Linked DNA regions of Coturnix japonica. The protein of the gene in region 2 binds, or shares a complex with, the protein of the main gene of each other region. Links are inferred from orthologs where the notes say so. Each region holds a gene or a part of one and is shown on either strand. Other genes may lie near its edges. The genes, in order: GID8 and ARMC8.

The links.
Region 1: the proteins of ARMC8 (region 2) and GID8 are in contact, whole or in part, in a cryo-EM structure (PDB 7NSC), measured with the Homo sapiens proteins. The link is inferred for Coturnix japonica from reciprocal best matches to the Homo sapiens genes ARMC8 and GID8. Residues at the interface, in NP_001350870.1 of Homo sapiens: Asn45, Val47, Ile48, Gly49, Asn50, Val85, Ser89, Met92, Arg127, Arg130, Arg161, Tyr162, Tyr166, Leu200, Ser201, Tyr202; in NP_060366.1 of Homo sapiens: Ile83, Ala84, Asn87, His90, Pro91, Glu92, Leu94, Asp95, Thr96, Tyr101, Tyr183, Glu184, Asn185.

Annotation. Positions count from the first base shown.
Region 1 is NC_029535.1:7,551,060-7,566,921, reverse strand, and holds GID8 (glucose-induced degradation protein 8 homolog), read right to left. Parts: upstream 10,196-15,862; 5' UTR 10,076-10,195; intron 8,282-10,075; 5' UTR 8,270-8,281; coding exon 8,152-8,269; intron 7,263-8,151; coding exon 7,066-7,262; intron 6,571-7,065; coding exon 6,373-6,570; intron 6,046-6,372; coding exon 5,872-6,045; 3' UTR 2,337-5,871; downstream 1-2,336. Other genes in the region: DIDO1 (death-inducer obliterator 1), read left to right, coding at 12,182-12,302. UniProt on the Homo sapiens protein: Core component of the CTLH E3 ubiquitin-protein ligase complex that selectively accepts ubiquitin from UBE2H and mediates ubiquitination and subsequent proteasomal degradation of the transcription factor HBP1.
Region 2 is NC_029524.1:2,442,494-2,458,255, reverse strand, and holds part of ARMC8 (armadillo repeat-containing protein 8), read right to left. Parts: intron 13,129-15,762; coding exon 13,068-13,128; intron 12,027-13,067; coding exon 11,826-12,026; intron 9,400-11,825; coding exon 9,304-9,399; intron 7,661-9,303; coding exon 7,578-7,660; intron 7,276-7,577; coding exon 7,194-7,275; intron 6,974-7,193; coding exon 6,908-6,973; intron 5,660-6,907; coding exon 5,573-5,659; intron 4,707-5,572; coding exon 4,614-4,706; intron 4,124-4,613; coding exon 3,974-4,123; intron 2,149-3,973; coding exon 2,053-2,148; intron 1-2,052. UniProt on the Homo sapiens protein: Component of the CTLH E3 ubiquitin-protein ligase complex that selectively accepts ubiquitin from UBE2H and mediates ubiquitination and subsequent proteasomal degradation of the transcription factor HBP1.

The DNA.
Region 1 (15,862 bases), on a different chromosome or scaffold from region 2:
GGTCAAAAACTGTCCACTATGCTGATTTTTAACCACCTCACCAGCCACGTTCTGCACCTCGACTACCCAGCTGCCAACCAGCCCATATAACCTGGCAGGGTGCTCCTCTCCCACTTGTTTGCTTGAGGCCCACAAAGCATTCCCAAATGAGAAGCTATAGGTGTGTGCAGTTCTATATGGTCGGCATTCACCAAAAACACATCTTTCTTGATAAATACTTCACCAACAGTCATCACCAGCCGCCTCTTTTGTTTAAACCCCAACAGCTGAAAGTGGGCACTTTGGCCTAAGAGGAGTGCAGAATATTTTCATAGATATGTAGGATACCCTGAGTCTGAAGGGACCCACAGTGATCAATGACAGCAGCAAACCCAAAACCCTACAGTGGAGACCAGTGTCCCGGTGCTCCTTGAAGCTGCCAAAAGGAAGGCAGTTAGTAACCACACTGTGTATGCAGAAGTTCATCCAGGTGGGGATGAGGTAGAAGCACGTTGTTGGAATCCTGGTTTAAAACAGGAAAAAACCATAGAAACAGCACGGAGTTTTTGGGTTCTGAAGTGCTGTAAAGTCAGCACGCAGCCCACCAGCATCCAACCTTGTCCTCGATGCCATCGTACCAAGGAGGTTTGGGAAGAGGAAAAGAACAGAAGTAGTTCCATGCCGGTGAGCTCCTCCTTTTCCAGACTTAATCTTAATTAATCGCTATCAGCAACACAAACATCCCGGCTGGAGCACTTTGATAAACCTCACCGTAGTTTCGACGGCACGTTTAAATAACTGACTGCAGGCCAGAAAGATATTAGAGACATCTTTTTTTTTCCCCTCGTGATTCACAGCAATTCCACACCTCGCCCTTCGGGTGCTTTCCTCCATCTCCCACCATCCAACAGCCGCGTGTCCCCGGACCCCCGAGCATCTCCGAAACCACCCGTCCGGATTCCACGCAGCAGGAGCGGCACAGAGAGCTTTACCTGGACCAGTACGGCTCCCCGCCTCCATCCCTCCTCATACCGTCGTGCTGCGGGGTTCGTGGGCCGTGCTCTCCTCCGCACACCGTCACATTCCTAACTCCTCCCGTTGCCATACGGGCAGCTCCTTCCAGCCCTGCCGGCTCACATCGCCCCGGCCGCCGGCTCCCTCCCCCTGCCGAGCCGCGGCCACGTGTCAGCGCCTCCCAGCCGGGCCGTTCCGGGAAGTCCCGCCGCCCTCCACGATGCCGGGGCCGCCCGCAGAGCGCTCGGACCGGGGGGGGGGTCCCGGTTCCGCATCCAGCCCCGAACTCTCGGTGTCCCGAGAAGGCGCTGGGCCGGGCTTTGGAGTCTCCATCCCTTACCCTCAAACTTGGTCTTTGCGTTCTTGGTCAATAATTAAGCCTCACCGACAACATCGTGGGGGCTCAACAGAAAGAACTCAAACCGTTTCACTTTTGCACAGCCATCCTCTCCCTGAGATGCTGGTGGGACACCCCCTCGATCCTCTGCCTGTGTGCCCACAGAAACATCTCCCGCTTTGCTTTTGTAAGACTAGAAATGAATACAATATTCCCACCTTCTTTTAGGAGAAAATGAATAGAAATTGATATTGTTGCAGCTCGATTTAACCCTGCAGGACAGAGCTGCTGCCTTCCTTAAATGTTGGATACGATCGGACTTCCTTATGGAAATAAATAATTAGAATAATGGTTATCTCACTTCAAAAGAGTGAGATAGACTCGATGTGAGTGTAAACCGAGGGGATGTGTGCAGAGCAAGCCCAGGGCTCAGCATTCATCACACTGTCAGCTTTCTTTCACCTGTTTGGACACAGCTGGAAACCACGCAAAGGAGGTAATTTTATTCCCTCTGCTACTGTGTGTTTCCAGAAGAGGGAGCCACGCCATGAGAAAACGCAGAGAATATCGATATGTTCCTTTACTTTGTTACTTCCTGGAGGCAAACATCCCATCGGGGTGAATAAACACAAATAGAAACCATTAGGAAGACAGGTGCTGGCTTCAGAAACCAATCAAGAACACAATCTCCTCTCGTTTTTCCTGCATTCACTTTAATCTGCCAAAAGATTAAACGAAACAGAAGATTACTGGGGTAATATCTGAGCTGACATCCACCTGCACTGAATTTCACCCACACAACAGCTGCATTATTTGAAGATCTTATCAAGTTCAGCACAAATTATGACCCAGTTTTGCTTTTGCTTTTGGGAGGATACGAGACAGAGCAATAGGTTCACATGTTCCATAAGAGGCAATTGGCATCTCCTAAAGGGAAACTCCAATTGCAGTTTGTGAACGAACTTGGGACAGAAAATGGTTTGAAATAAGTCGAGCACCACTCAACTACTAGCCAAGGTTGTGGGTGTTTGTATTTTTAAGTGCTTTGAAGCTTAGACTCAAACATACAAAGCAGAAACGTTATAAATTAAAAGCAATAAAATCAACCTAGGATCATGTAATGGCTTCGCATATACGTACAAGGAGTGGAAAGGAGACAGAATGATGCCCACGTAACTTCACACACTTTTAATGCTACATAAGTGCTCTCCACGTTCATTTCAGTGTTTCTTTTAACGCAGGTGGAAGGAGCAGGAAGTGTTTCAATGAAATCACCTCAGGATCAAGAGCTACTTCCCCCAGTTTCAAGCTCTGCGTGTTCAAACGTCTTGAGAGGAAACGCTTTACTTCAAATCCTGCTGTTTGTTTCTGGTTTCAGCAGCCTCTGGTTTTCCAGCTACATAAACAATAAACAGTTCAGCATCTCTTTCCTAGTAAAGCACTGCCAGTAGTTCACCTTCATGGAAACCCACTACCCCCAACCCTTCACAAATGACCCCGTTGTACAACAGAAGCAACCAGTTCAGCTTAGATCAGAGAGGCAGAAAAGGAACACGGTAACAGCCAAGAGACAGCTATTAAGGAGACGATATTGGAGAGGGAATGAGATTTGTAGCCTAATCAAAACGCATTTCATACAAAGGCTTTTGGCAGAGGCAGGTAGGACAAGATATTTTACAACTCAACTTCTTTGTGTTCGTAGCATTAATGGAAAGAAAATCTTACTTGCTTTCAGGGGGAAGAATGAGTGCAGTGTACCATGTTTGTTTGCCACCGTTGAGTTTGGAACAAATCTTCATACAAAAGTTATTCTCATTCTAAATTAAGTGGGGGGAAAAAATGTAACAATAATATGTATTTTAATGCTAAAGCAAACTGTTCAAAGTGGCATTTAATAGGATTTGTTAAAGTGGTTATCTAACAAAAATGGGTTAACAAAATCCCATTCATTAGTAGTCACCAAATAAGACATTTCTCATGCATATGACAAAAGTCCATTCGTGTACTGACAGAGGTCTGTTTACTGTGTACAATATTTCCATAAATTATAACGTTTCACAGCCCCTACCATTCAAGAATATTTCAAACAGATTATATATTATATTTGTATATGCAAACTATTTTATATACACTAATATAAAGATCCTTAGAAGTACCATTATGACTACCTTTATGCTCTCTCTAAAATGCATAGCTTTCCAATATTTTCTTGCAGTTACCAAAAAACTTTACAGATTAAAGCTGCTTATCAACGTGGCATGTTCATAAAAACAAAGTGAAATAGTTCTATACTAACTTTATATTAAACCCCTTAAAAAACATGGTGTTTCTTTTTAATGGAAAAAAACCAAGCTAGTGAAAATTCAAGTAAACTATGCTCACTCTTTGCCCAAAATACTATGTGAAATTAACCCTAGAAGTACAGTGAACTTCTCAACCAGGACTGTAATACTGCATTTCTCATGGAGAAAAATGCTTGTCATGCCACAAAACCGCACTGCTTTCCACTTCAGCTGGGAGAAGCTTTAGATGACATTTAGTAGGTAAGCATCAGAACAGAGGAAAAGCCGATCAGTTACATATGAAGAAATTAGAGCTATTCCAGTTTCGTTTCTGCAGTCTGTTATTAAACCAAGTGACAATAACCAGAGTTTCCCACAAACTAGAAGTCATACATGGTTTGCAGACATCAACCGAATGGGAAAAGGAAAAAAGAACCAACTGTTAAAAGTCTGGTGTTAAAATAACCAGTCTGGGAGAAGGAAAGCCAGACCACTGCTGTAGTTGGGGGCAAGTGATAGCTTGCTTGTTATGCATAAACTTCGAGACCTCCATGCCACAAAATGCCTTAAAAGTGCAGAACAAAACTATCAGCGATAAATGAGAACAACTCATTTTGTTATACCCATCATCTAGCTTTAACTCAGTGCTCTGCATCTCTAATAGCTGCTTAACAAATAATGGATTCCCCTCACAAAAAAAATTGCTACACAAGTAAACAGTGTTCACAGTAATGCAATCAGTAACAGGGTTTGTTTTTGTTTTTTTAAGTTTCCATAAGTCAGGTGTATCTGCAAAGCTTTATACAGTTTAATGCGTAAGTATTCCAGTAAAATTAAGTGAAAACTAAGTTTAATTCTACAGGGTAATATCTACCATACAAGACTAGATTATGTACAGTATGGGACTGGTATGACAACTGCCAGTGCATCGTGATGTTCAGCTACCTCACCCACCAGATCGGTCTTTGTTCAACAAATCGTTAATAACTTGATATACAGACCTATAAACCTACAGACTGATTTGGCAAGATTAGTGCTACCACTGGATATATACCAGTGAACAGTGCTGCAAAATTAAGTTGACCTGAACATCCCATACCCACAAGATTACAATTTGTTGACTTGAAAGTCTGGACTTCACACGTAAAACATTAAAACTAGAATCCTAACTGGAGTGAGGGCGGGCAGTAAACAAAGTAATACAGGTGGAGATGAACTGTATCTCTTCAGAAAGGTATGGAAAGAATCGAAAAAAGTTGACATTTCAGCCTTTAAAGACAGCCCTGCTCTGCTCAGCTCAAGGCATAAAAACAGCCCAAGTAGCTCTAAAACTACAATTCTTATTCAGCGTGAGTAAAGGCAGATCCTGCACAAGAAGATGCATCAGAGGCTTCCATAAGTATCTCTCCCCCCACTTCATTGCCTAACACAAGTATGTCTTTCAGCTTACAAAAATCCGGTGGCCCTCCAAGCTCTACTAACCTGCTGGAATCACTGCAGTGTCTGCAGCTGCAAACTCTACATGGAAGGGAAAGGTCCCCTTTAAGAAAAACTCTCAAATGCCTCTGAGGGCCATTTTGGTCATTCATGAAAATTAAGAAAAAAAACTTATTTCCAACAATACTTCTCATGAAAAGATGGGTCACCGATCCATTACGAACATAGCTCTCACCATATAAAGCACCAAAAAGTCAGAAACAAGGAAAAAAAAAAGTTCTTAAATTAAGATTTACAAGTTTGTACACTATTTCCTAGGCAAAAGGTTGACCTTACTGCAAAGTTTATAGGTGAAAACATGACCAGTTACTCTTAAGGGGAATGTATATCTTGCTATAACTTAAAGGTAGAAAATATTCACTGTTCTATATACACATTTCAAACAGGAGACAGTTTAACTTAACTGAATAATTGCCAATGTAACTCCGTATTAACTCACTGACCACTCAACTAAGCATCAGTAGCCAATTAGAAAGCTTGAGTTCTGTACTTTTAAAAACGTGATTTTTTCCTGTCCTGTTTAATTGGTTTTCTTTTAAAAATGTATTATAGTGCATAGCCTAAGTCAGACTTTCAAAGAGATACAGCGCCTTTCAATGCAGTTTTTGCAGCATTCAAAAGGGACTTTTCTCCCTTCAAATTAGATGTTCATTGAAAAATCTGAATTGAGTGCTGTACTGTAGTAAAAATATTTCAGTCACAGACTGATATAAATGTATACTGTGCAGTACTATGATTGTTTGATGTCCATCTGCACACATTTTACTTGGGTTCTTCAATTGTCCCCTTGCTGAGGTCTGTCATTTTGGGGTATTTCACTTTCTTCTGGTCTAGCTCGTTCTGAGCCCACAGTAGTAGTTTCAGTAATTTTGCCAACTTGGGCGTCGATTCACGATTTTCATAGTCTAGAACAGCTTGATTAACCTCACTCCATACCTGGAAAAGAAATACTGGAGTTTAGTAACAGTTTGCCTATGATTAACACTTTGTAATGTTACAGAGACATTGATAACATCACACACAGCTTGTTAACTCCTCAGAATGAGGCCAGGACAAAGCTCCATATACCAACAGCCTAGAGAAACAAAGAAGAAAGTCAAACAGCCTATTATTGGCATCATCAGGTTTTAGAATGCTGCTTAAGAAATACTTCTGCTCTTTTGCACAGAGCTATACACATTTCCATATATTTCAAAAATATTTGGACACGGTTTTCACCACACACAAATAAAATACATCGACTTCCTTATGAGCAAATTCTACCTTCTGTCGCTGCATCATGTTCAGCAAGTCTCCAAATGGTGATTCTTCAGGATTATCAAAGGCAAGCAAAGCCAGCGTGCGCTCCATTTCTGTCAGGCATTCCCGGCTCTCCTCGCCTTGTTCTGCTAATTGGGTCTGAGCAAATTCCAGAGCTGCTTCTGTCTCACGCTGCCGAATCAGTTCAATCAAATGCTGCTGCTACATACAAAAAAAAACCACAGTGATATTAGCTAAACAAAGCAGCAAATCTCCAGTATTTCGAGACCATAATCTTCTGTCATTTGTATGTAATTTGAGACAAATACTAATCCATACCATGAAAGCTTAAGGTCATTTCTAAACATCTAAGAAGTAACAGATTTGCCAACAAGATTTACTAGTAAAGGCAGTCTGAGGTTTCCAAATAACACGTTTTGAAAATGTGTTTCTAAAGGAACCACCAGAAATCCAGATTAATAGTTGGTAAATCACAGATCATTCCCACTGTTAAAAGTTTCCAACTTACTAATTAACATGATATGACAGTTGTTGTACCATGCCACAGATCTTCCCATAACTATTAAATGATATCAAAAACGAACATTTGAAACTGCAATTATGTTCAGCCACAAATCCCTTAACATACTCTTAAACTCACACTTCTTCCAGAGTTTCTTAACAACTTCTAAAACAAAAACGGCCACTTGTCCTTACCTGCAAATGAAAGTAGAGATATCTGTTTGTATCTAACAGTTCTGGATGGAGGCTGTTTATTAATGAAATGGCTTCTTGAATCTGTCCTTTCAGAATCATTTCTCTGATTTTTATTCTTTCATCGAGAGTCTCTAAATCAACGCTGGGTTCAATTCCAGACTCCATTCGAAATTTCTCTGCTGCTTCTTTAAAGCCCTCTGAAATAAAAACGTTTTACCTACAAATCTGTTTCACAAATGGGCTCCTATTTTAAGAATTTGCATTATTTTGTTTCTCCCTCCCATCCCCAACCACATTTATATAGTTTTAATGAGAAAAAACAGATAAAGAAAACTAACTTTGTTTTTCTAAAACAAATGTAGTTGTTGGTAAAGGTTTTTAATGGCCACCCAGAATCTTAAACTTTATTTAATAAAGTTTACTTTATTAAGCCACTAAGATGCTCTCCTCTCATCTCAGAAGATCCAGTCGCACACTGATGTAAACAGGGGTGTAGATCAAATATAAATGCCTCCACCCTAGTATAGCTTCCTGTGATGGTATGCATCATAATTGCCAGGGACAATTTCCGAGGGTTTCTGATTGCTCTAAGTATAAAGTTAGGCTATATGCTGAAGGGCTTAATCATTTTGGTCTCAAACTGTTTTGACAAGTGTCCTTTCAGAGTCTACCTTTCTAGACAGTTAAAACTTACTTCTGATAAACGCTCTGCGAAGCTTCATGAGTGCTATTTAAAAACAGCTACATATCTTGAGTTCTTTCTCAATGGCACAAAAAAAAAGGTATCATAGAGAAGCAGGGCATTTCAGTTTACAGCAATCCAAAAATACTTTCTTCTATATCTTTTAGTGTAAGAATTAAGGTCAGCGTAATTTCTATGTCAGTATATCTGCCGGGTCCCTGTTTTAATCTAATTGATTCTGTGTCCACTTAAGAGAATACAAGAGCACGTGTACCTTACTAGAAGTCAACAGCAATCACCAAATCCTTAAAGTTGTTAATGTCACTCCTTATAGTACCATAGTGTATCCAAAGTGGTTTGCCCCAACAAAGTAAAAGCTTCCTAGCACTACAACACACCCTTACCTGTGACAAGGTAGTTCATGATAAGGCGGTTCATGTCTGCTCTCTGAATATGCAAGTTATTAAGTTTTTCCATCCATTCATCTTTTGTGATTTCATCAGGTTTTTCTGCATAACTCATCCTGGTCTCTTACTACAAAGACAGAAAAACATTTCATTTAACACAATTCAATTAAAAGCAAGTTTAATGTGTGTACGCACAGTTCTACTACTATCTCTGTATCTTTCTAATGACATCTCTTAAATTAATATCCCAAAGGACCCTTTTATCTCCACACATTATTTTACATTTTCTTTTCCTTCTTCCTGCACTTTCAGCCAGTTTCTAACTCTGCTTTCATCCATCATCCATATACAAAATTCAAACACCACTATCTTGTTAAATCCAGTCCAAATAAAACGTTGTCTAAAAGTCATACAAGACCCACAGCATGACCACGCAGAGCAAATGAATCCAAGTTTTACAACTGACTAGAAAATCTATGACTAATTTCCAAAGCGAAACATATGTAACCAATATCTGTTTTAAACAAAAACACTGACTGGATGGCTACGTATGTCACACGGCCACAAAAGAAGGCAGTGAGTGCCCCCACGCACAACCAGCCGGCTTAGAGTGACTGTCACAGGAGCTCCTGCCAACGCTACTAAGTTATTTCCTGTTTGTTTTCATTCTCGGATTTGGAAACAGCGCACTCTGCTAAAACCGAAGCCGGTTATTTGTCCGCTTCTGACAGAGGCAGCGGAAGGGGGAGGAGAGGCGGCAACAACAGCAACAGGCACCGAAACACCGAGCGGCAGCGCACCGCCTGCCTCCCCTTCCCAACAGAACAGCCGGGAGACCACGGCTCCCACCAAAGCCGCACCGACCCCAACAGCGCCGGGCAGCGGGGGACAGGACGGGCCCGGAGCTACGCGAAGAACCGAGCGCTCCCGGCCCGCGCTGCCAATCACAGAATCACAGAATGAGCCGGGTTGGAAGGGACCTCAAGGATCATGTAGTTCCAACCCCCCTGCCTGGCAGGGCCACCAAACATACACCTTTACTACATCAGGTTGCCCAGGGCCCCGTCCAACCTGGCCTTGAACACCTCCAAGGACGGGGCATCCACAACCTCCCTGGGCAGCCTGTTCCAGGGCCTGACCACTCTCCCAGTAAAGAACTTCCCCCTAACATCCAACCTAAATCTTCCCTCTTTTAACTTAAAACCATTTCCCCGTGTCCTGCTATTGTCAGCCCTTTCCAAGAGTTTACTCCCCTCCTGGCAGTAAGTTCCCTTCAGGTACTGAAAGGCTGCAATGAGGTCACCCCGCAACCTTCTCTTCTCCAGGCTGAACAAACCCAACTCCCTCAGCCTGTCCTCATAGGGGAGGTGCTCCAGCCCCCTGATCATCTTCCTGTCCCTCCTCTGGACCCTTAACAAAATCTCCATGTCTTTCTTGTACTGAGGGCTCCACACCTGGACACGGTACAACAGATGGGGCCTCACAAGAGCAGAGTAGAGAGGGACAATCACCTCCATATCCCTGCTGACCACCCCTCTCCTGATGGAGCCCAGGATCCCATTTGCTTTCCGGGCTGCCAGAGCGCACTGCTGGCTCATGTTGAGTCTCTCGTCCATCCGGACCCCCAGCTCCTTCTCTGAACCACGCGGTGTCCCCCAAGTGCTGCGGTCCGAGCCCCGCTGTGCACCCCGACCTTCCCCCTCTGAACAAGACCCCGCTCAGCCCCGGCCTCCAGAGGCGCATCCTCCGACCCGGCCCACCCACACCAGGCCACACAAGCGCACGGCTCCGTTCCCCACAGGCCCGGTGCCTCCCCACCGTCCACAGCGATCAGCAACGGACCGAGCCGCTAAGCCGAGGCGAGAACCGCGACAGCCCAAGTACCCTGAGGGAAGGAGCGGCCCCGCCGGCGCCATCTTACCGAGCGCGCTGCGATACCGGCTGCAACGCACCAACGCGGACACCTCCGCCGCCTCTGCTAGGCCTCCGGCGAGCGGATCTCGCGAGAACTGCTCTCAGCCAATCGAAGAGAGAAAGCTCAACCATAGAGATGTGCCGCGGGATAGAGCGTACGTCGTGTATATACACACACACACACACATCCAGCGGGGCGCTGGTACCATAGAGATGAGGCGCTCGGCCTCTCTGTAGCGCTCAATTGAGGCCGGTCCCGCCGGGAGGACCACGGAGTCAGTAGCACAGAGTGAGGGCGGCTGAGGGCAGGCTACAAAATGGCCGCCGTGCCACCTACTGTAGATGGGACGGGCAAGTGGCGCTGGGTCTTGTCTCTTCTATGGCTCCATCGAGCCGCCTGTCCCAGCTGCAGGGCACAATATCTCCTCTTATCCTCCTGATCTCTAAGGTCCCTTCCAACCCACACGAGACTGTGATACTGTGATATAATAAACTTGCCACAATTAGATCCAAAAAGGCTTGTGAATCAAGGCACAAAGGCAACAAAACTGCTCTATTTGTGTATTGAAACGAGAGCAGGGCTTAAGAGGTACATCTGCATATGAAATATGGCAAATGATACTAATTGAGAACATATAATTTCACTCAGTGGGAATATGGATACAATTACTCGTTTTTCACTCCTAGTTTTGTAGCTACCACAACAGATTTGTTGCTTAGGAAAAGACACAACCTTCCAATTCTATTCCTTATACATCTCAACCTTCAGGCTTGTGAATCTTCCCTTTAGATTCTTGTCCCTGATTTTTGTCAGCTCCTCCCCCAAAAGGTGGAGTTTCTTAGGAGACTTCCATAAAGACAGAGGGAGTAGGAGAATTTCCCTCTCTAGAAGGGTTTCCTGAGCTTACTATTGAGGGAAGTGCACCCTGAGTAAAGCGGAGACACTTGAGAGCACCTCAAGCTTTTGTTTGAGAGAAAAGGCTTTGTAGCAACCTAAATTGTAAGCTGCATAGTTCTTCTATGGTAAGCTTCACAAATAAGAATAGCCCTTGGTAAAGTATTTCTCTGTTTGTGCAGAGATACGCTGGGAGCCTTGTATAACCAAGTACCTGGAGGATACGCTGCCTTAACACCTGGTGTATCTGTGGTGTGGTTTGTATCTGGGGATACAAACCTTATTCTGCTCATCAAAAAAGGTAAAGCTGGGGCACAGCCAACAAGGATTAGTCTCTTCTGACTTGAAGTGATCAATATTTATATTGAAAAGCAATGGAACAGGGATAAGAACTTGCTTGTTAGCTTTCATCCCTAGTCTATTATTGGGATAACCCTGTCTCTAGTTTTTACCTGTTGTTGTTTTCTCATTCTTGATAAATACAAATACAATTAGAGAAACCCCAGGGATAATCAAGCACAGATATATTACCTGCAGAAGAAAGTCTCACTGACTTTCTTGACTCAGTCTCTCTGTACTGACTGCCTAATAGTAGATGAGATCTGAGAAAGCAATGGGAAAAGGATTTAAGGTTTTATTTTAAAAGAATTTAAAAGAATTTATTTTATTTTTTAAAAGGTTTTAAGGAGAGTAGTGCCGAGGGCTTGGTAGATATCCTGGCATAAGCTTTTCTGGTACTTTAGATGCATAAGGTGCTTATTAAACTGTTTTAGAAGCCAATTGATATGTATTAATCTTGTACTTTTGTATAGGAGTCTGTTTCTCACATATTGGTGTTTCTCTGTGGAGTAAGTATTAATACAGTCCTGCTTTACAGGTGGAGACGGTGCCTATGTTGAAAAGCTAATAGTAACTTTAATGCCATCACCCTTAGCTTTTACCCTCAGGAGTCTCATACTGTGCCTATTTGGCTCCCAAGTGTGTTTTTAGGGGCCCAGGCATTTTATAATGATGTTTATTGGGATATAAGGGCCGCTTTAGGGTTGAGTAGCACTGAGGGGGCCGCTCGTTTCCCGCCCAACTCCCAGCTGTGAGGAAGCGCGCGGGCTGCTGGGCCGGGGGGGCGGAGCTTGTATCGGCCGAAGTCCTCCGAGAGCCGTGCGCAAAGCGAGGCGCGGTGGGCGTTCTAGCCTACGGTTGGCCGCCATATCCGTCTCTATGGTAGCGCGGGGAGGAGCGGCCCCGCCCAGCGCTTTGGAGCCGTTGCGAGAAGGAAATGGCGGCGCGGCGCGGCTGAGACCTTCGTGGCGTCGGAGAGATCCCGCACCCACTGACCGCGGTGAGTGAGGGAGGCGGTGGGAGAAGCACCGGGGAGAGGAGGAGATCGAGAACCGGGCAGCCGCTGCGGAGGAGGAGGGGAGGCGGAAAAGACACGGCCGCCACCTCAGGCCTCGGGGCTCGATGAGAAAATGGAGGCGGGCGGTGTGGGCCGGGAAGGCCGCAAGGCTGAGGGGAGGGATTGGGGGGGAACTGGGGATGGCGAGGCCTGTTTCCAGGGAACCATCGGTGTGGCTGCGGGCCCAGGGCACGTCGGAGGCCTGGCACGTCGAAGGCCACACATTGCGGGGGCCCCGGAGGAAGCCCCGAGCCGCCGCCCCGTGAGCTCTTAACGTGGTTGGGCCGCGGAGGAGAGGACGGCCTCTGCAGGAAGGCGGGCTCCTCCATCTTGGGGGGAGAGAGAAGGAGAAGGACGGGCGTGAGCTGAGCCCAGCGACGTCACGGGTCAAGCTGACGGCGGCGAGCTTCCCTGTGACGCTACAACCGACATTAACCGCCTTTTCGGTCCCGTTCAACGTATCCCGCTGCCGGATGAGGGTTTCTCCGCCTCGGGCCTATTAAGTGGTGGGATGCGGGTGGAGAGCTGCTCCTCGGCATCAAGGGCTCGGGGTGGGTCCTGGCACGAGGTTATGGGGCTTTGAGCTGGGTGATGGAGACGGCTCCTCAGTGGTGAGTTCAACAGGAAAAGTAGAGTTTTAGCATGTGCTGGTGCCTTGTAGAGAAGGGAGAAGGGGTTGCATCATTAGTTAATGCCAATATGTATTGAGTATTTATACTGGTCAATGTCTGATACTGTCTACCTTTCTCCCTCCCTATTAATGTATTTCTGTACTGTCCCTTGTGCCTTGCACAAAGCTGTGCTTTGAACGTGACCAAATTCTGTTTCATACAGTTATCTGAGCAGTAACTGCATTTTAGTAGTGGATGAATAAGATCCTGTCATCTTAGCTTGTCATTTTCAACTCAGAAAGAACACTTCATATTGTTTAATAAACTGAATAATGTGTATGGATTACACTCACATATACTCAGTACTTAAAACCAGTGTAATGGTCTTGTCTTGTTGCACTGGTTTTGTTCCCTTTTTTTTCCCCTGGGAACTTCAGGAAGGGAAAAAATGATAATTCCTTTTACTTAATGGGCAAGTTTTGTGCAGCATTAAGATCCTTTTTAGAAATTATTAATGTTTTAGACTCCAAATAATCTTTTTGAGGCTGCAAGAGTAGTTCATTTCAGTGCTTAATCATCACAGCTTTGTTGAAGTATATTATTTGGCAGTTGGTATTCAACTGTATTTTAATTTTATTAAAAATTTCCACTTAAAGCTATTTATATAAGAGCTTCTTTAGAAGTGGTAATGTCAAGAGGTACAGCTTAAACTGTGTCTTGTTGATACACTTATAAATGAAATTTAGCAGCCATTCAAGCAGTTGGATTGCTGGTCAATGAACAATGTCAATATATAGTTAGTTACTGTACAAGTGTAGTATTTACTGTGCTAATTTAATAGAGATTTTAGGTTGTGCTTTGCCTTTATATGCCAATTGCTTGTTATTGTTCTTTGACACTTCAAACTTTCTATAGGAGTAAAATAGCAAACAAAATTGAGTGTGTTTCTCAGTGTTTGATGGACTCAGCAGAAGATGGTGGCTCTATTTAATTCTGTTTTAAGATTTTTCTCTGGGAGTAGATGGTATGATTTAATTTCAGTTTCAGATTCCGTCTGTAGAGTTTTAACTGTGTGCTTTTAGTTCTGCAGAGCCTGAACTTCAGCCAGAAGTCTTAAGTGGAGAAGGGAAAGGGAAGGATTATAAGGATTAGGCTGGAAGATTATGGAATGTAACTGATAGAAATGGGAAGAGACAGGACTGTACTAAGCAAGAGTAAGATTAGATGGTTTCTTGTTGACAGAAGTGCTAATGTCTGTCTGTGTTAGTTTTACACTGAGCTTTTTCTGCCTAATGTCACCTATAATGTTTCAACCAGTAGGACAGTGGTAGAAGTACAACTGATTTTACCCAGTTTATGCAGGATTTGCTCTCAGTCCTCCTCCTTAGGACTGTTTTAGATCCACTGTCAATATACTATGAACATATTGCTTTAAAGGTTGTATTACTGTTATGTTTTTATATAATACAACTTCAGAAAGAAGTTAATAGAATAGTGAGTTTTAGTGGAGTTACTGTTAAAAGCATTGATAGACTTCAAGGTTAACAAGTAACTTAAAATTCCCACTAGGGAAGAGACAAAAATTAAATGCGTATTACACGTGTTCTTGTGGTAAACCCTAATTGCAATTGGTATTTGAACTGTTGACTGTGTAGTAACGTAATCAGTATGCTGTAATCACTTGACTGTATTCTGAAGGAAGATCTCATGTTTTTTATGTCATATACTGACCCCTTTTTGATGGCGTGAGAATGAAATTGCTCACTGGTTTCAGATGTATTTATAGCTCACTTTCTATTTCACATTGAAAAGGGAAAAAGGTGTAACAGCAAAGCGTGGTGTTTTTTCCAGCAGCTGGGCTGGTAGGATCAGAAACTGTAATCCTGCAGTTGCTCTGAGTCTATTTCTGTACACTTAGTTCTGCTGACAACCAGGATTAGACATGCCAGAGGATACAGAGAGATACATGTAAAACTAAGATAGATACATTGTAGGAAGTGTAACTAGTTTATGTATCATAGTGCCAATTGACAAAAAGCCTGCCCAGCTTTACTAGTTAGTACAAAGCTATTGAAGGAGAAGAGGGAATTTTAAGTAGTGTGAATATTCAAGCTGAAACTTGACAATTCAGTACTTTCAATATAGTTCTATGTTTAAAAATAAAGAAGCAATGGGATCTTGAAGAATTAAACTGTTTGTGTTCACTTAACATCCCACTATTCATAAGTCACAATAAAGAACTGATTTCATTGGTACTTCAGTGGAGGAATATCAGATGGTGTGAATCAGTTTTCCAGAGCTCTTTGTTTCCTTTGCAGTTGCTGGCAGTATATTATCAGTGGTGCTGAAGAGGTCAGGTTTTGTAGCAGAAGCTGAATGTTAAAACCAAAAAATGTAGTGTATATTTGTGAAATATTTCCATCCAAAGTGGTAGAAAAGGAATGGTAAAGATAATTGTATAGTGAGTAATAACCAATGGCAGTCTAAGTTTGTAGTTGCTGTCTGTTTGCTAAACGTAGGACTGTGGCTTACGAAATTGGCTTCATGATTTTGAAGCCATAAGGAGACATTTTTTTTTTCTTGGAATACAAGCTTTTGACCACAGAAAGGTGCTTTCCCCCCCTCCCTTTTTTATCTAAAAGGGGAAAAAAGGGCAGAACTGTCTGTGCTGCTTGGGATTGTGCTTGCAGTGGTTCTTAATGTTCTTTTTGCCGTGTCATTTTTGCTTGTATTATTCTTACCTTGAGAGGGGAGGTAAACCTGAGGAAAAAATCTACATTTGTTTTTGTTGCTTTGGGTAAACTCTTGTGGTTTAGAGTAGATCTGGGGTTACCTTGTGTAGCTGAATGTGGAGAAAAGCTTTTGATGGTGTTACAGGAGCACTAAGCTTGA
Region 2 (15,762 bases):
TGAACTTGTCACAAACAATTCTTTTAATTAGTTTTAATATCGTTAATCTGGATTTTCCAGCTTGCTTACATTTCACCAGTGCCAAAGCAGTAACAATTGTGCCTGAACAGCCCTTCCAAAAACACAGTTTTTGCTGTTATAAAAAATTAAGCAACAATCACTGATTCATTTCACAATGAGCAAAATTTAAGTCTCTTATGGGAATATGCAGCACACAGACAAGATACAATGTGTTGGAAAGTAAAGGAGTCTATTCTGTAACAGCAGCTAGGAAAAAACAGAACACATCCATGTAGTTCTTCAGGTCAGGAAAGGGAAAACCAGAGGTCTATCTGCTGAACCCTCAGAAAAATATCTTTTTTTCCCCACAAGTTCTAATCACACATCTCACCTGCAGAGGTAACGCAAACGAACTACTTAATGCACCTGCTTATTACTTGTGAATTAGAAAAGCCATCTTACAACATAACCTTGAAGCAAGAAAGCCCATGTTTGCACTACATGCACAAGGCATTAAGACTTGCAAAGGCAGCTTTCCAGGCGCTCAGGAGGCACACTGCTCTATGAATTCTTCCCTTAAGAGCTGCACAAGAATTCAGCCATGTTTTCTGTACGTGTGGCTGCAGGAGGGCTGTGGAGAATGACCAGCGCATGTGTGATGCCTTTGCCTAAGCTGCATATGTCCATTACGTCCCAAAGCTGCTGAGGACACACTAACAAGGCAGTCAGCGATAAGCACCATCCTACTTGTGTGCAGTGTTGTGTGCAAGTTAGTTCTGAAACAAAAACATGTTCATCTCATTGCAGGGGTAAGCGAAGTGCTCTGTAAATAAAGGCTCCAAAACTGAAAGCCTACGTTCAGCTTCAGTACAACAGCCTTGTTACAGGAGGTGTGCTTCCTCCTCTAAAATAATTCTCAGAGGCTTGGCAGGCAAAATCATCTCCTATTGCAAAAAAGGCCATTTCACTTACTAGAGCTTTATCAAAAACAATTTAGAAAGAAACAACTGTTTAATCCTCAGCTGCTTCACAACCATGGTTTCACTACACTTGCTACATATTTAGTCTTACATGTGTTTGTGGTTTGGTATTTCTTTTTGCTAATTCGGCATTTTAAACGGCCACAAAAGACCACTTCAGCCCACTCTTTACTGAGCAGAGATTTCAATCACTCTGGATTTAGCGATTAAAGATATTTGCCATGCTGCTCACTACCAACATCCATTCTAAGCCAAAGGAATCCATGGCAATCTCCCACAGCTCCTCAGTGCCCCCATTACTCACCACCACATGTCCTGTGTGAGGAAGACAGTTAAAGAGAGCCTTCATCTCCCATAATTAGCCAAATTCTGCCATCCATCCTTGTACTTTTGCTGTGGTGGCCTCACCCTTATGCTGTTCTAAAACCAGAAATGCTTTTCTCTGTTGAACATCTCTCTTCAGGTCCCTTTGCTTGTGTATATTTTTACTCATCCAACTGCAGTTTTTCAGAGCATGCCCCTCCTGCTCTTCTCTTGGGCTACACCAGCATGCTCTTCTCCCCGCTACTGCCTCCTCTGCTGTGAGCACTGCTGGCTCCCACAGCCCCCAGGAACAGCTGAGATGCCACAGCTCCCAGCAGAACATGTTCCACCGCCAGCAAAGCGGGCACTAACACTATTCTTTTTTATTGACTGTTCCAGCAGCTGCTGTAGGAGCAAATAACCATGAAGCTTTTCCAGGCATGAAATATTGGCTTTTTCCTCTTCCCATGTCCCCACCATCCCCCTTCTGCCATGCTACTGCCTTAGATTTAATTCTTCTGCTCTCATGTACAGTGTTCTCCTACCTGTGAAATCTAAAAAGCATTCTGAATTGAATTCAAGCATGTTTGCAGTAATGCACTGAAGAGGAACTTCTTGTAGGTGCTAAAGTTATTAAATGGACAGACCTCAGTAAAACAGCCACAGCAAATCATAATCCTCAAAAAAATTAACATGGTGAGAACAGTAAGCATTTTTAGATTGTATTCTGCCAATGAAAATTCTGCCATGAAAACAAAAGAAAGGATACCTGCTCTTTGACTTCTATATTGTGCTCCCCTTCCAAAATGAGGGTCACCGCTTGCATGATTTGCTTCCCATGAGTGCTCATTATATGGTCTATGTGCTGTCAAAGCAATGAAATACAGTTAGCAGTAATTTTCCACACACACAGGCAGCATTCCTACATGAATTACTTTAAATAAAGAGTAGCAACATTGCACAAAATTCCTATAGTACATAGCGAGATCTCCCAAAACCCAAAGCAGCAGAAACACTTGGTAATATTCCTCTTCATCTGAACCCTGGTCACGTTTGAGAGAGCACAATATGGGCCTTGGTTCTGAGTTCACTGAAACCTGTAGGAAAAAAACCACTGGTTTCCTACTTGGCCACAGGCTGAAGACTAAGTCCTACTGGATGTGAGCTCTCAGTATGATGCTGTAGTTATAGAAAGAACCACCTTTTCTCCTCTGATAACAGGAGGACATCAAGGAGGGGTAAAGAAGTGTGGCTTATTTTTTTTCCACCTGGAACTTTTGCTACACTTACTGGATCATTGCAACCAGGATTGAGATCTTCATTTAATAAAACCAAAAACCTTAAAGGATTCAGAAAGATAAGATGCATAAATTACTTATAGTCTAGGAAAACTGTCTCAAGGTCAGAGACTTACAGGTAAAAGGGTCATATGATTAGGGACTACCAGTACAAGAATATAAGCAGTCATAAGGAGTAACAGAAAAAAAATGCAAAACTAAATCTACTGGAGGATCTGATAGCAAAACTCAGGAGTGACAGCCAGCAGCCACCAGACATAACCTGTGCACAGCACACACTGCAGTTTTCTGAGCTGGAACTTCTTATCAATAGAGATTCTTGTAGGATTTCTTAAAATTGCTAGCACTGAAACTTGAATCAAAAGCTGCTGGATGAGTTACTCTGGAGTAAGTTCTGGGTACAGAATGAGAACGGTTGATTCTGGCTCTGAAGTGTTACAGACAGTAGGTGAAGCTGGGATGGTATCAGACAAATAACACCTTAAAATAATGAGACTCTGCTGTCAGAGCTCAGCTCAGGGTGAATTAATGAATGACAGGTCGCTTCTTTCACATGAAAATCTTCACATTAAGACAGTGTAAATCCTCAATGAAGCTTATTGAGATTCAGTAAGTACAGATATCAGAAGCTATTTTGCAGTGACCTTTTTATGGTAGAAACACAACACGTGATAAATGCACAGTAGAGGCTTCGTGCCATTTTTCCCCCACAAAAATGCTGGCTTGCCAAATGTTTGCTGCATGTTTTCCCTCTGTTCATCACAGGGGATTACCCCTTTCATTTCCTCCACCAATATCTCATTCTCCCTGTCAAAAACAATTCATGGACTTACATTTTCAAACCATTTTACTTTAGTGTGTAAAATGAGCGAATGCATTTTTTTTCCCCCAAGTGAGCAGTCCCACAGTCAAATTCATCAAGTCTGAGCTCACTACACAGCTGGGTAAGAACAGAAATATTTCAGGTGTCAAGAGAGAAGAAACATTAGGTATCCTCAATACAATGCACCTCTCCACATACTGACTCAGAAGTGCAGCTCCCTCACTGCCCTCACTGCTATTCTGGACAAGTTTTTAGGACAACACTGTGGGAAGCTAAATGTAATGGAGCTGATGATTAAATACAACTGTCTAGTGCTGTATTTTATAACAGATAACAAGCGGATGTACAGAATTCTTTCCAGTTTTTCTGACACTGGTTTGAACTTTTGCTTACAGACACTGGGATAAATGCAAAGCAGAGCCCTCAGTTTTAGCCACGTACCAAAGAGCAATCAAACAGAAAACCATTTTGTATTCTGAGCCAAAATCTTTGTCAAAAATAAAACTGATCATTAATTTTCATTGTCTGTATGTTCGATCAGAACAAAGTCTGTTTGCAGCTCTACTTACTGGACGAGTAGACAGAAGATTCCTGAGCAGTCCCAAAGTTTTCATCAGAACATTTACATCGGAATCAGAAAGTAACTGGAATAACTGCTCCGTGCTCAGACCTCGTAAGATGTCTGATTTGATCTTCTGTTCAGCTTGAAATGCCATATTCTGAAAAAGACAATGCTTTTTAAAGCTTAAGCTTTAGTTTTTTACTTTTAGGAGACTGTTGCCTGCAAGCATATAAATATCCTTGCTGAATTAGTCCCAAAATTGCTATAACTTACAAAGAACTGTAAATTCCCCATAAGAGAGCATTTATGGCTATGCAATAAATCCATATGCACACTGTTTCATGGCTGATTTTGCTGACCTGGTTATTACCCACTTTTATTTGTCCCCATAATGATTTGACACTGCTCAAATATTTGCCTGAATGATCCGGACAACCAAATCAGTATCTGAATGAAAGGGTTCTTATTCATCTCTAGCTGTTGAAGCGTTCCAGGCTGACAGTGCTTTCCTTCTTTGGATGGACAGAATGCAAAAACAGACTTCACTTACACTATTTCTAGTAACAGCTCACAAGTTTCTTAAGTCACATTAACAAACTACTCCAGAAGTGCAATTGCAAGAAGTATTCCATTGGTATTTTACTCACCATTAAAGCCCAAATGCCATTCACTCGCAAGGCAAGATTTTCACTTTGTGTTAAACTACACAGAAGTTCTATGGCTCCTGATTCCAAAATAGGCTAAAATGAACAAGTTGGGACAAAAAAAAAAAAAAAAACCAAAAAACCAGACCTTTAAAACAATACTCCAAATAATTAGGTGTACAAATAAAAGTAAACATCATTTTTTTTAAAAAAAGGTCTTGCTTATATCTCACTCTTCAAATTCCAACACACTCGGCCTGCTCTGATGAACTGACAGAGCCATGCTCCATATTCATGAGCACTAAAAGGTAGTTTTCTATGAGGGGAGAGAATTCTTTACTCAAAGAGTGGCGAGGCCCTGGCACTGCTGCTCACAGAAGTGTGTGGCTGCCACATCCCTGGAGGTTCCAGGGCCAAGCTGGATGAGGCCTTGGGCAGCGTGAGCTGGTGGAGGGCAACCCCATGGCAGGGGTTGGGGCTGGGTGGGCTGTAAGGATTGTACGAAACACAGATGTGACACAGAACGCACAGCAGATATCCCCTATCTTTCAATCAAGAAAAATAAAGACCTCTCAGTTGAGCTATGGCAGCATTTTCAAGATCACAGCAGTAATTCTGTAAGACAATCATATCCCCAATTAAAGTTTGTTTTCTTGGTGCTCTCAAGTTGTTTTTTTTTTTTAAGATAATCATTATTCTATGAGTTAAAAAATTCATTTCTACTTTTTCTTTCCCCCCTTCAGAGGCTATATTTAACTATTCAACAATATTTAAGTGTCACAGCACTGTAAGCAGGTTTACTTGATATTAGCATCAATCAGAGATTTCAGTCTGCCTAACATTACAACTCTATGACAAATAACATGTCGCTCCTACCCACCAGGATACCCTTACACTTATTGAACCCCTCTGTAGGGCAGCTTTCATTCAGAAACAATAAAAGGTAACAGACAAACACTAACCTCTTTGCTCGGTGAGAATTCTAGTAGAAGATTGCATAGTGTAGAAGATGCTACTATCAGAATTTCATTTGGAGCATTCTGTAAAACCTGTTGTCATGAAGGGGAGAATGGAGAATCTCTGTCAATGAGTAGGGTAAGGCAGGGATTGCTGTGAAATGGAATACTTGTACACATTTGGAGATGCTCATAGTGCAGATTCAGACAGCACTCATTCAACTCAATGTGATACTTCTTACTACATGACAAGCTGGAGCAATGCAAAACTCTTTCTCATAAGTCAGATTTGAGAGCTTTCATGTGGGTTTTAAAAGAAATCAAGGGAATGAAGCCCTGTTCTGCAAAGCATGGATCTACTCTGCTCAGCATCCAACAGAGAACAGGCTGCAGCTGCAGAACACCTCTGTACCACGCTTTACCAAAAAAAAAAAAAAAAAGTCAAAAAAGGAAGCTCCAGGAACTTGTGTGGTCAAATCTCTCGACTTGCCAATTAACAATGATTAATTAACTCACAGATTATCATCACAATTCATAAATTCATAAATCAAGAATCAGTGCTTCATGTGTAATAGGTACAGTATATTATATCTTGTCAGAAAATAACTGCTCCATCATTTCCATCATGAAACTACAGTACAAAGTAGTCCCACACTTTAGGGCTTCTAATTCACACAAGCCTCATATAAGGCCAATAAGATGACCAGCACATCAGTTTTGTGTAGTCCGTTATTTCTGAGGATTATGTTCATAAGCAGATCAGAGAAAGTCAGTGAGACTTTGTACAGGCCTGAGCAGCGTGTCCAACAGGCATCCATCCTTCTTGTACAGAATCATCCAAACCACCAGCAACAGCCGAAAGATCTCCTGATTACTTCCTTACAGCACTTTGAAGCTTGAAGACAGTCAGCTCATGTAACTGTGCCTCACTATCAGGTTCATCAGTTCAACTTTGCTGATGAGGCTTTCTCTGGCATGGCTATTGTACTTCTGCATAGAGTCAGGCTCATTTCAGGCATGGTGATTCTCAAGGACATCTACATTGCCTAAGCATTCAGGCTCTTTGCAAAATCACCTCATTCCCCATTCTCGAGAGCTGAAAAACACTGACACTAAGAAACTGGTCTATCTATCTGCACTTAGTGACAATCACATTACAGGGCAAGAAACAATAGATGCATCTCAATGCATTTTAACCTTGTGCACAATAGCATTTAATTTAAAAAAAAAAAAAGTATTTTAAAAAGTTTTGCTGAGTTCTTCAGCTTCAGTTTTAGTATTTGCAATGAGAACTAGAGAACTACAGCAGAAAACAGACCTACATACTCTTGTAGCACTTACAGACCAAGCCTGAGCTGTTCCATCTACTCTGAACTGAAGGATATACAGTCCTAGTGTCCTGCAAGACTAAAAATTAGGGATAATGTAGCTTTATTAACTGATCACAGAAAAAAAAGATGAACAAATAGCAAAGCATGGACCACAGCACTCTTGGCATGGAATCTGATTTCTGGGTCATATATGCTATGACTCTACAGAAACACGTGCAAATTAAACATACACCATATCCTCCACGTTATTATAACCAAGCAGAAAATTCGAGTGGTTGCAACTTGACTTCACTTACCTTCATTAAAGGTTTCCATACAGCATGGTCCTGAAAACTTGTCCTGAGCTGCTGAACAGAACGGGACAAGCTGTGCAAACATCTAAAACAGAAAAGAAACATTCATTGTGAAAAAAGTACACAGAGATACGCTTCTGCTTCTATGCATACACACACACACGTTGCTTTTGCACATAATAATGCAGCCTAGAACGTGGTGACTAACAGCTTGCAAATAGCAAAAGAAAATACTGAGCTAGTCCAGGATCATTTTCTCCCCCTAACAAGTTTTCCAAAAGCAGAAGATTTCAGATTAACTTCAGCTCTTGAAAAAAGTTCTACCAAGTGCAACACCAGACTTTGACCAAAAAAAATTGTTTGTATGAAACAAAAAAAGCATCCTACCTGACTGCAGCTAATCGCACCTTGATACTAGATTCAGATAAGCCATTAACAATACGGTCCATCATATTTTCAGTTTCAATGATCTAGAGCAAAAAGTAACCAATATCATATGAATAAAATAATATGAACATTTACGGGGCTGTTATCTTTTGTTTTGTTCTTCTTTCCTGTCTGCAATGTTTTAAATACCGTACAAAAACTATAACTAAAAACAGCAAGCCACTTTAGAGTCTCAAACTAAGCAGAACAAAGTGTGCATCTGCACGTGATTTGGGAGATATCTATACCCTCTGTTCCACTACTGCTCTCAAAATGTCCTGAATAATCATTGAGAAAAAATACATATAATATGTACAATGTATTACTCAGTGTTATACTAAAATGAAAGATAGCATGTGTGAGTGTACAAAATATATACAAACTATAGATTAGAGACATGTGGTAAAGCCATCTGGAAAAGATACAGTTGCTCATCTTCCATATTTAGACATGGCCGGCACAAGCATTTAAAAGTAGGAGAAAAGGGAGTTAATACCATGGTGAAAGATGGCCTTTATATAATAAACCAACTTTGTCCTGTTCACATCCATCACTTGTTAAAGACAATTCTTTGAAATGTAAGAGAAGGGATCCTTGCTATTAACTAAAGAAATTAGAAAGAGAAATGTATGAGTTTGAATCTCCGGTTGGGTTTGCTGTGGTAGGACAAGGGGAAATAGCTTCAAATTTAAAGAGGGGAGATTTAGATTTGATATAAGGAAGAACTTTTTTGTTTTTTTTTTTTACAATCATTGGAGACATGGAGATCCAAGGTCAGGCTGGATGGGGCTCTGAGCACCTGATGGAGCTGTAGGTGTCCCTGTTTGTTGCAGGGGAGTTGGGCTGGATGGCCTTGAAGGGTCCCTTCCAACTCAAATAATTCTATCATTCTCTAAAATCTGGAGATTCTGAATGGGTCCCCAATGAAAAAATCCTCCTACTTGTTATCCTCTCAACTGAATGTTTTCCCACCTCCTACCTGCCCTTGCTTTTCATCCATCCTGCTTCTTGTGCCTGATATTTTAGTTTGACATAGCAACCCCACACTAAATTTCAAACTTTTAACTACATGACTACTCCTATCTTCCCATCTTTTCTTCATTGTTTGAGTAGAATTTGTCCCCCATGACACCACATTTTCTAATAGCACAAACCCCTCGGTCACTTCAGAATCACCGAATCAATTGTGACTTGGTTTCACAACATGATCAGATTTCCTAGGGTTTGTTTCTGGGTAAACATTCATTTTATAACAGAGGCAAATTTTGTCTCCCCAAAACACAGGTTGCAGAAATGCTTTAAGACCCACATGCCACAGCAATGACCTCACACAGCCTAAATGGCTGGACTGATAATCTTTCTAGGTCCCTTCCTACCAAGCTATTCCATTTTATTCTGAGTAGCAAGGACCACAGCACGCTGAAAGACTTTATTCTGAAAATCTAGTTTATCACCATGAAAAATTCACACCAACTAACCTTACTCTTCTATTTTGTTAATAAAGACAAATTTTCTTCAAATCCCACTCAAAGAAAGAGCGCTGTAGAACTCTGTTAATGTAACAGAAAGCAAGCCTTCACAACTCACAGCAAAACAAAGGAAGAGTTGGAAGGAGCAAAACATACATCCAAGCTCTTGCACTGCCCTTCACCTATAGCTCTGCCTCATTGCGGACATTTTTGCTCACCTTTTTTCGAATATCTTCATCGTTTGCTCCAAGGGAAGCATACAGCTTGAAAGCAGCCTGGCGCAGCTCATGGGCATGCTTCAAATCATGGTCAAGCTATTTAAATAAATACAGATATCAAATATAGACGCTAAAAATTACGGGTGGTATTTCCTTATTTGCTGTACACTAATAGCTGCTTCCTCGGGTTTTGTCTATCACACGTAGAACAGCCAGAAATACAAACAACCTGCTGTTTCATCAGCTGATGTCCACGCTCATCATCTGAACACAATAATTTAAGGGTATGGTTAATGTCACTGTTGAGTTACAGATAAGCCAACTTAAATAACATCTGCTTACAACATTTTGATGCCAAAACACTTCTCAGATGTTACTGCTCCATTCAGACTATATTAAGGTGAAAAGCAGTCTTATTTACCCAACAGAAACTTATAGGAACAAGCCAGAAGAAGTGGAAAAAATTAGTACAGAATCAAAAGTTTTATCAACAGAACCGAAGCCCATCCCTCAACCACAGGACTTAGAGCTTAAGGCGATTGTTAACTTCCAGTTCCTGTCATAAGGGCAACACATCAAAGTGCTAACTGCCTAGATGTTTGGGGAAGGTAACAACACAGGTTCTAGGCAAGTGAATTAGGGTGATGCATCACGGGACACATGACTCACAAATCAGGAACAACTGTACTGGGTATGATAATCAAGTGGGAACACTTGGCTGTAGGGATAATAGTGGCATCCCAGCTCCTGCAAGGTGTGAGCAAGGCAAGAAGCAGAATACATACAAAGCCTTGACTTTGGGATAGTAGACCTGCATTAGCTGAAAGAGAACACCCTGGTTGTCAGCGAGGAGAAGAGAAGGCTGAGCAGAGACATAAGAGCAGCCTTCACCTCAAGAAGACTACAAAGAACATGAAGGTGGACTCTCTATGGAGGTGCAAAGAAAGAGGAGACAATAATCAGATTGGAACAGGTGAGGTTCTAACTCATATTCACCTGGGGAACACTGGAACTGAATGCACTGAGAAGCTGTTTAATCACCATTGTTAGCAGTTCTCAATAGCCAACTAGACAATCCCTTCATGTCCTTACCAAGCAGAGTTGCTCTATGATTGACACCCTTGCAAACTCCAACCCAAAGGGTTCCACATAACAGAGCAACATTTTAAGCCTACTCAAAATGCCAGAAAAATGCCAGTATTAAGCGACAAGTTATTGGTATGAAAGAACTGTCCAAAATTAAGCTGTACGAACAATTTCCCCTGGTACAGATACACCATTAGAGCAGAATGTATTATGTCTATTTTTAATATTTTAACAACAATAAGTAATCTGTTCAGTAAAGTCCACACTCATCCTGTTTTTACCTTCTAGGGAGTAATTCAAAGAGTTTTTTTCCTTCTCCTCCAAACAAGCACCCTGCCATTCCAGGTGACTATTTTTAGAGACTTTCTGAACACTTAAAGCCATGTCATAATACCTATAATCACTCCTGTTCAGAACCTTTGCCATGTTTTTGATGCTACCACCAACACTCACTGCTTCCCAGTCAAATGCTCATTTTCCTTCTGCTTATTATCTAAAGTGCAACCAACAGTTTTTTTAATATTTAATTTGCATTTTTACATCTACTTAAAAGCAACTGTACGTGCAGAATCAATTCAATCCCTTGAAAGCCTGAGAGGTGTGTCCACCCCTGGGGACAGTCTCAAAGAAAAACAAAGGCTCTGTAATCCACTTCTTTGGGGTACTTTCTTTAAACTGAATGAGAGAAAAAGGGAATTGACAAACGATACTTCCCTACAAGGAATATCAAGAACAATCCTGTTTCCAAGACTGACTGATCTACTAGTGCTTTGGTAAGTGTATATACAGCTGGGAATAGAACAGCTCCTAAAACACCTATGATAATAAGCCTCCAAGGTATACTGGATCATTGTTTATCCAACCTCTTGCAAGTGCAGATAACATCTGGGAGATAACGTGAAATGATATACAGGGCATCCAGGTTTTTCTGCGTAACAGAAAAGAACCATCTCTGAACTTAACATTTTCCACAACTTCACCTATGAATTCACACCATCCACATCACATGGACTATTATCTCTTATGAAGACGAAATGCAGCGGCTCCTGAAGCTGTAAACTTGTAAACTCAGCACATGAGCAACATGACAGATGCCCTTGTCCAGTATTTCACTACTACATTGGGAAATGTCATGAAAATCCTATGAAGAAGCTGCATTAAACTATCCAGAAACCATCTTCCTGTGTTCCACAAAGAACAGCAAAATCCTTCTTACAAGATGTAGAGCCCAAATATACACAAAGTTCTTTGTTTGGATATTACAGGCTCCAGAATGAACAAAGACTTGAGGCCTAGTTGCATTAGGGTCATGGCCTAGCCTAGGTCTGGCAACCTTTCCATTGAAGAACTTGGATATAAGGCTGAGCTAAACAGAATAAAGAAACACCTTGAGCCCATTTCTTACTGTTTTTCAAAGATTCAGCAGAAGAACCTACCCTTTTGATATCAGTGATTGCACTCACTGAGCTGGGATACTTGAAGTAATCGGCAAGCATGACAATGAGGTGGTCAGTAATGCTGGCAATTCTCTGAAGTTCCACGTCTGTTTCAATCAAATAGGCCAGAGTTTCTGCTCCTTCTACTCGTTCCTCCAGCAGTCTCTCCTTGCTACACATTCGAACCAAACATGGCAGAGTCTGATGAGTTTAAAAAGAATAAAAACAAAATACTGTTTGGAACAGCTAGGTTCATAAAGAAACTCGAACAGCTATTTTAAAGCAATTCTCAGTAATGTTATTTGAACAGGTACCTTCAGACAAAAAGTATTTTAAAGACTACAGAGAAATTGTTCAGGCAATACTGAGTATACATTAGGCTACTTTCAACCAAGTTCTCATGCAGTGAAAAAGAGTTTAGATCAGATGTCACTACTGACACTGATGATACTGGAATGAACTGCATTTTGGATATCCGCTTAAAAAGATGGGAGAGATAGAAATTTGACTCTGCCAACATGAGGACTTTCACCTGTAATTACCTTGAATGGCAGATACGAAATTCCCCCTAGCAAACAGTGTAAATGTACCATACTCAACTGCGATTAACACTGAAACGTGTTTTCTTAGTGCAGCATCTTATAAAGAAACTGCCCTTTCCCCTGCATTACCAGAACACTGGACATAGGGACAGTTCCTGACGCGCTGCAGACAACTCTCCCAACCCTAACCAAGTTATGAAGCACTGATGTTCAGACAAACTTACAAAACTACTGTGAAATTTGAGGAACAGCCTGATTTTGACAGGCTCCTTTTATACACTGTGCAAGCATTTTGACTATTGTCTTCTGTCTTGACTACAGTCTTCTGAAACTTGCTTCTGAAACAGATAACAGCGCCTTGTTCGCATGCAGAGATCAAGGTAGGGATGTGGTTTCCATGTTACTTACAAACAGTTACTTACATCATTACAAACCTTAAACTGCTGTGTGTCAAACTTTGGAATATTTATTGCTGGATATCAACATTTTGGTATCTAAAAGTTCTTACAAGAGCTACACTGCTATAAGTGTTTTAAGGCAATTAGGGAACAACTGTTTGTTTAATTACTATCATTAGAACTTGGTGCTTTGAGATCACCTATTTAACAGGCTTTGCACTACTTTTTATACTAGACAAATAAAAACAGGAGTAGATCCTTATAGAAATGCTGTTTTAAACAGAATTGTCTAACTAGCTCACCTTAAGAACGATGCAAGAGTCATCTGTCCGTATTGCTCCAGCTCTGCACATGGAAGTAAGGCTGTGACAACACAATAAAACATAAATTCACTTATCCTTGGTTTTTAGCACTTAAAACACTGCAGAACAACCCGCTGTACTAATGAAATGTGCTCCCCTTTTGATTGATTTTCATACATTTGAGCTAACTGTAGGCACATGACCAAATTACAACACACACACTTGCAAGGAGATTTATAGCACAGAACATCTTGCTGGAGCACTGACCAACACGGACACCACACAGGTCAAAAAAAGGACTAACCAAGAAGCTCGACTGATGTACAAATCTCTTACAATAACAAAACAAAGTTAACTATGTTCACTAGGATAAAACAGCAATACGCACAGATCTGTCCTATACTGCCCACAGCACAGGAAAGGACTAATAAGGAGAGGGTCAACGGAGGGCTGACAGTTTAAGTCATAGAATCACCAAGGTTGGGAAAGACCTCCAAGATCAAGTCCAACCATCCACCTATCACCAATACTTCCCACTAAACCACGTCCCTCAGCACGACATTCAAACATTTCTCCACCCTGGCAGCCCATTCCAGTGCCTTATCACTCTCTCATAGAAGCAGTATTTCCTAATGTCCAACCACCTGAATCTCCCTGGTGCAACTTGAGGTCATTCCCTCTAGTCCTATCACTAGTTCCATTAGATCTCAACTTTCCCTTTTGATATGGGCAGATTCCTGTATGTTCATGTACCTAATGACCAGATGGCTCTGTAGGGCCTTCCTAAGCAGATCAACACTTCCTGCCAGCTTGGTGTCATCTGCAGAAATATTTGAGCTTGGCATTAATTTAGGAGACTCAGTACAGGAGTAGTCAAGTACCTTGTTTTAGCTTTCAAACTAAGCCATTGTAACTAGCTTTTATTGTGTCGCAAGTGGGAGGTTAAAAAAACCAACCACCAACTGCCATTTAAAGAAGGTGACTTAAAACTACCATTTCAATTCTTGGTTGGACTGGTTGAAACCATATATAAGGCCAATCACAATTGCCCATAATAATATGCCAACCTTAATAGCACCATGTTTCACTGCATTCCTATGATTTTTAAAAGAACCCAGAGTTCCCACATCTTTAATAACATCATTTAACCTGTTCCAAGTGTCTACCAATGAAAGACGTGAATAAAAATGCACTGATTATGAGATTTTAGCTATTATGACTCAGAAGTTAAACAGATACAACTCGGCAGCACAGAGATTATTTTCTAAACTTTTCTGTTCAAACTTTGTATCTTACAGCTGGAAATACTGATTTCCACGTCTGAACAATCAGGAGGAGAACACCAGTCTTGCAGCTGCCATTAATTCCTGTTACGATACTGTTTGCAGGACAAACTGACTCAACTTCGAACACAAAGTAAGTTAAAGTACTTCAGATAAATAGGCTTGGCTTAGATGGCAGCAATTACACTAATTTCAGTAGAAAAGGTGCTCTTCTCTAAACTGTTCTGCTTATAGGTGCAAATCACTCCCCCAAGAGGCCGACTTATTGCTCCCTCTTTGCCAAAATCACCGTTCAAATGAAGGATCCTTATTCCATTTCAATCAAGAGGTATTAAGTCAGATCTTCCAGGTCTACTTGAACAGTTGAAAAGCAAAGGAAGCTTCCTCAGATATCCCTGTATACCAGTATGTAGATTAAAACCAGCTTAGCAGAAGGCTTCAGAAATTCACCAAAATAACTCTACTTCTGTATTCTAAGGACTCTACCAATAAACCAGAGAGGAATCCCACGTTAATCAACAAAAGCTGGCACATCAAAAGTGAAGTCTTAATTTTTTATCAGAAAAGCAGTTACAATTTCACCTACTACTCCAGCCTAGAAGGAGTAGGAGTGAAGAGAGATACAGACTTACTTTAAGGGATACAAGCAGGGAACAGATTTAGAGAAGAAAAGCCAGTAGATTTTTGAAGTCCTTACACTGTCATGAAACTGATACCTTCAGTGCCCTAGGAAAGAGGGCTGCCCACAGGCTAATTAGGAGCCCACTCTTGAAGCACAAGACACTGGTTTGTTCCCCTCATTCTTGTAGGGTTTTTTTTGCTTTTCATTGCACATTTTTTCTTCTGTGCTTTCAAAAGTCCATTTGAGCCAAAAATGAGAGAATCTCCAGCCAAATCCCTCCAAATCAAAGCAGATTAGTAAAGAATACCAACATATCTGAGAGCGTTTATCCTAGAACAAGAAGAAACCAAAGCCAGAATAGATTTCTAACTGCAATTTGCCTTCATAACTAACCGATGCTCTTGTATCTTAAGTTAAAAAAAATAACCTGTTCTCATGAACTCGGTTTTTTAACCCTAATTCTCTGTTTTCTCTGAACTGCCAAAGAAACACAAATCGATCACAACAGACTTCTTCAAGACAGTTGATTTACCTTGCCTCCCCTTCAGTACCTGAAGAAAACCTGATTTGCTAGAGGGGAATGCAGGAGGCCCCCAGTCCAGCCTCCCACCACACAGTGGGATTACCTTCCTAAAACAATCCTCCCCAAACGTACACTTATTTATAATTGCTTTCATGAATGGGTTAAGTTGCCACAACCTGGCAACGTGACAAAAGAGACCATCCTCCTACTCCCCCCATCCTTATTCCTCAGCCAGAAACTCAAGCCTTTGCTCTGACAAGTGTCAGT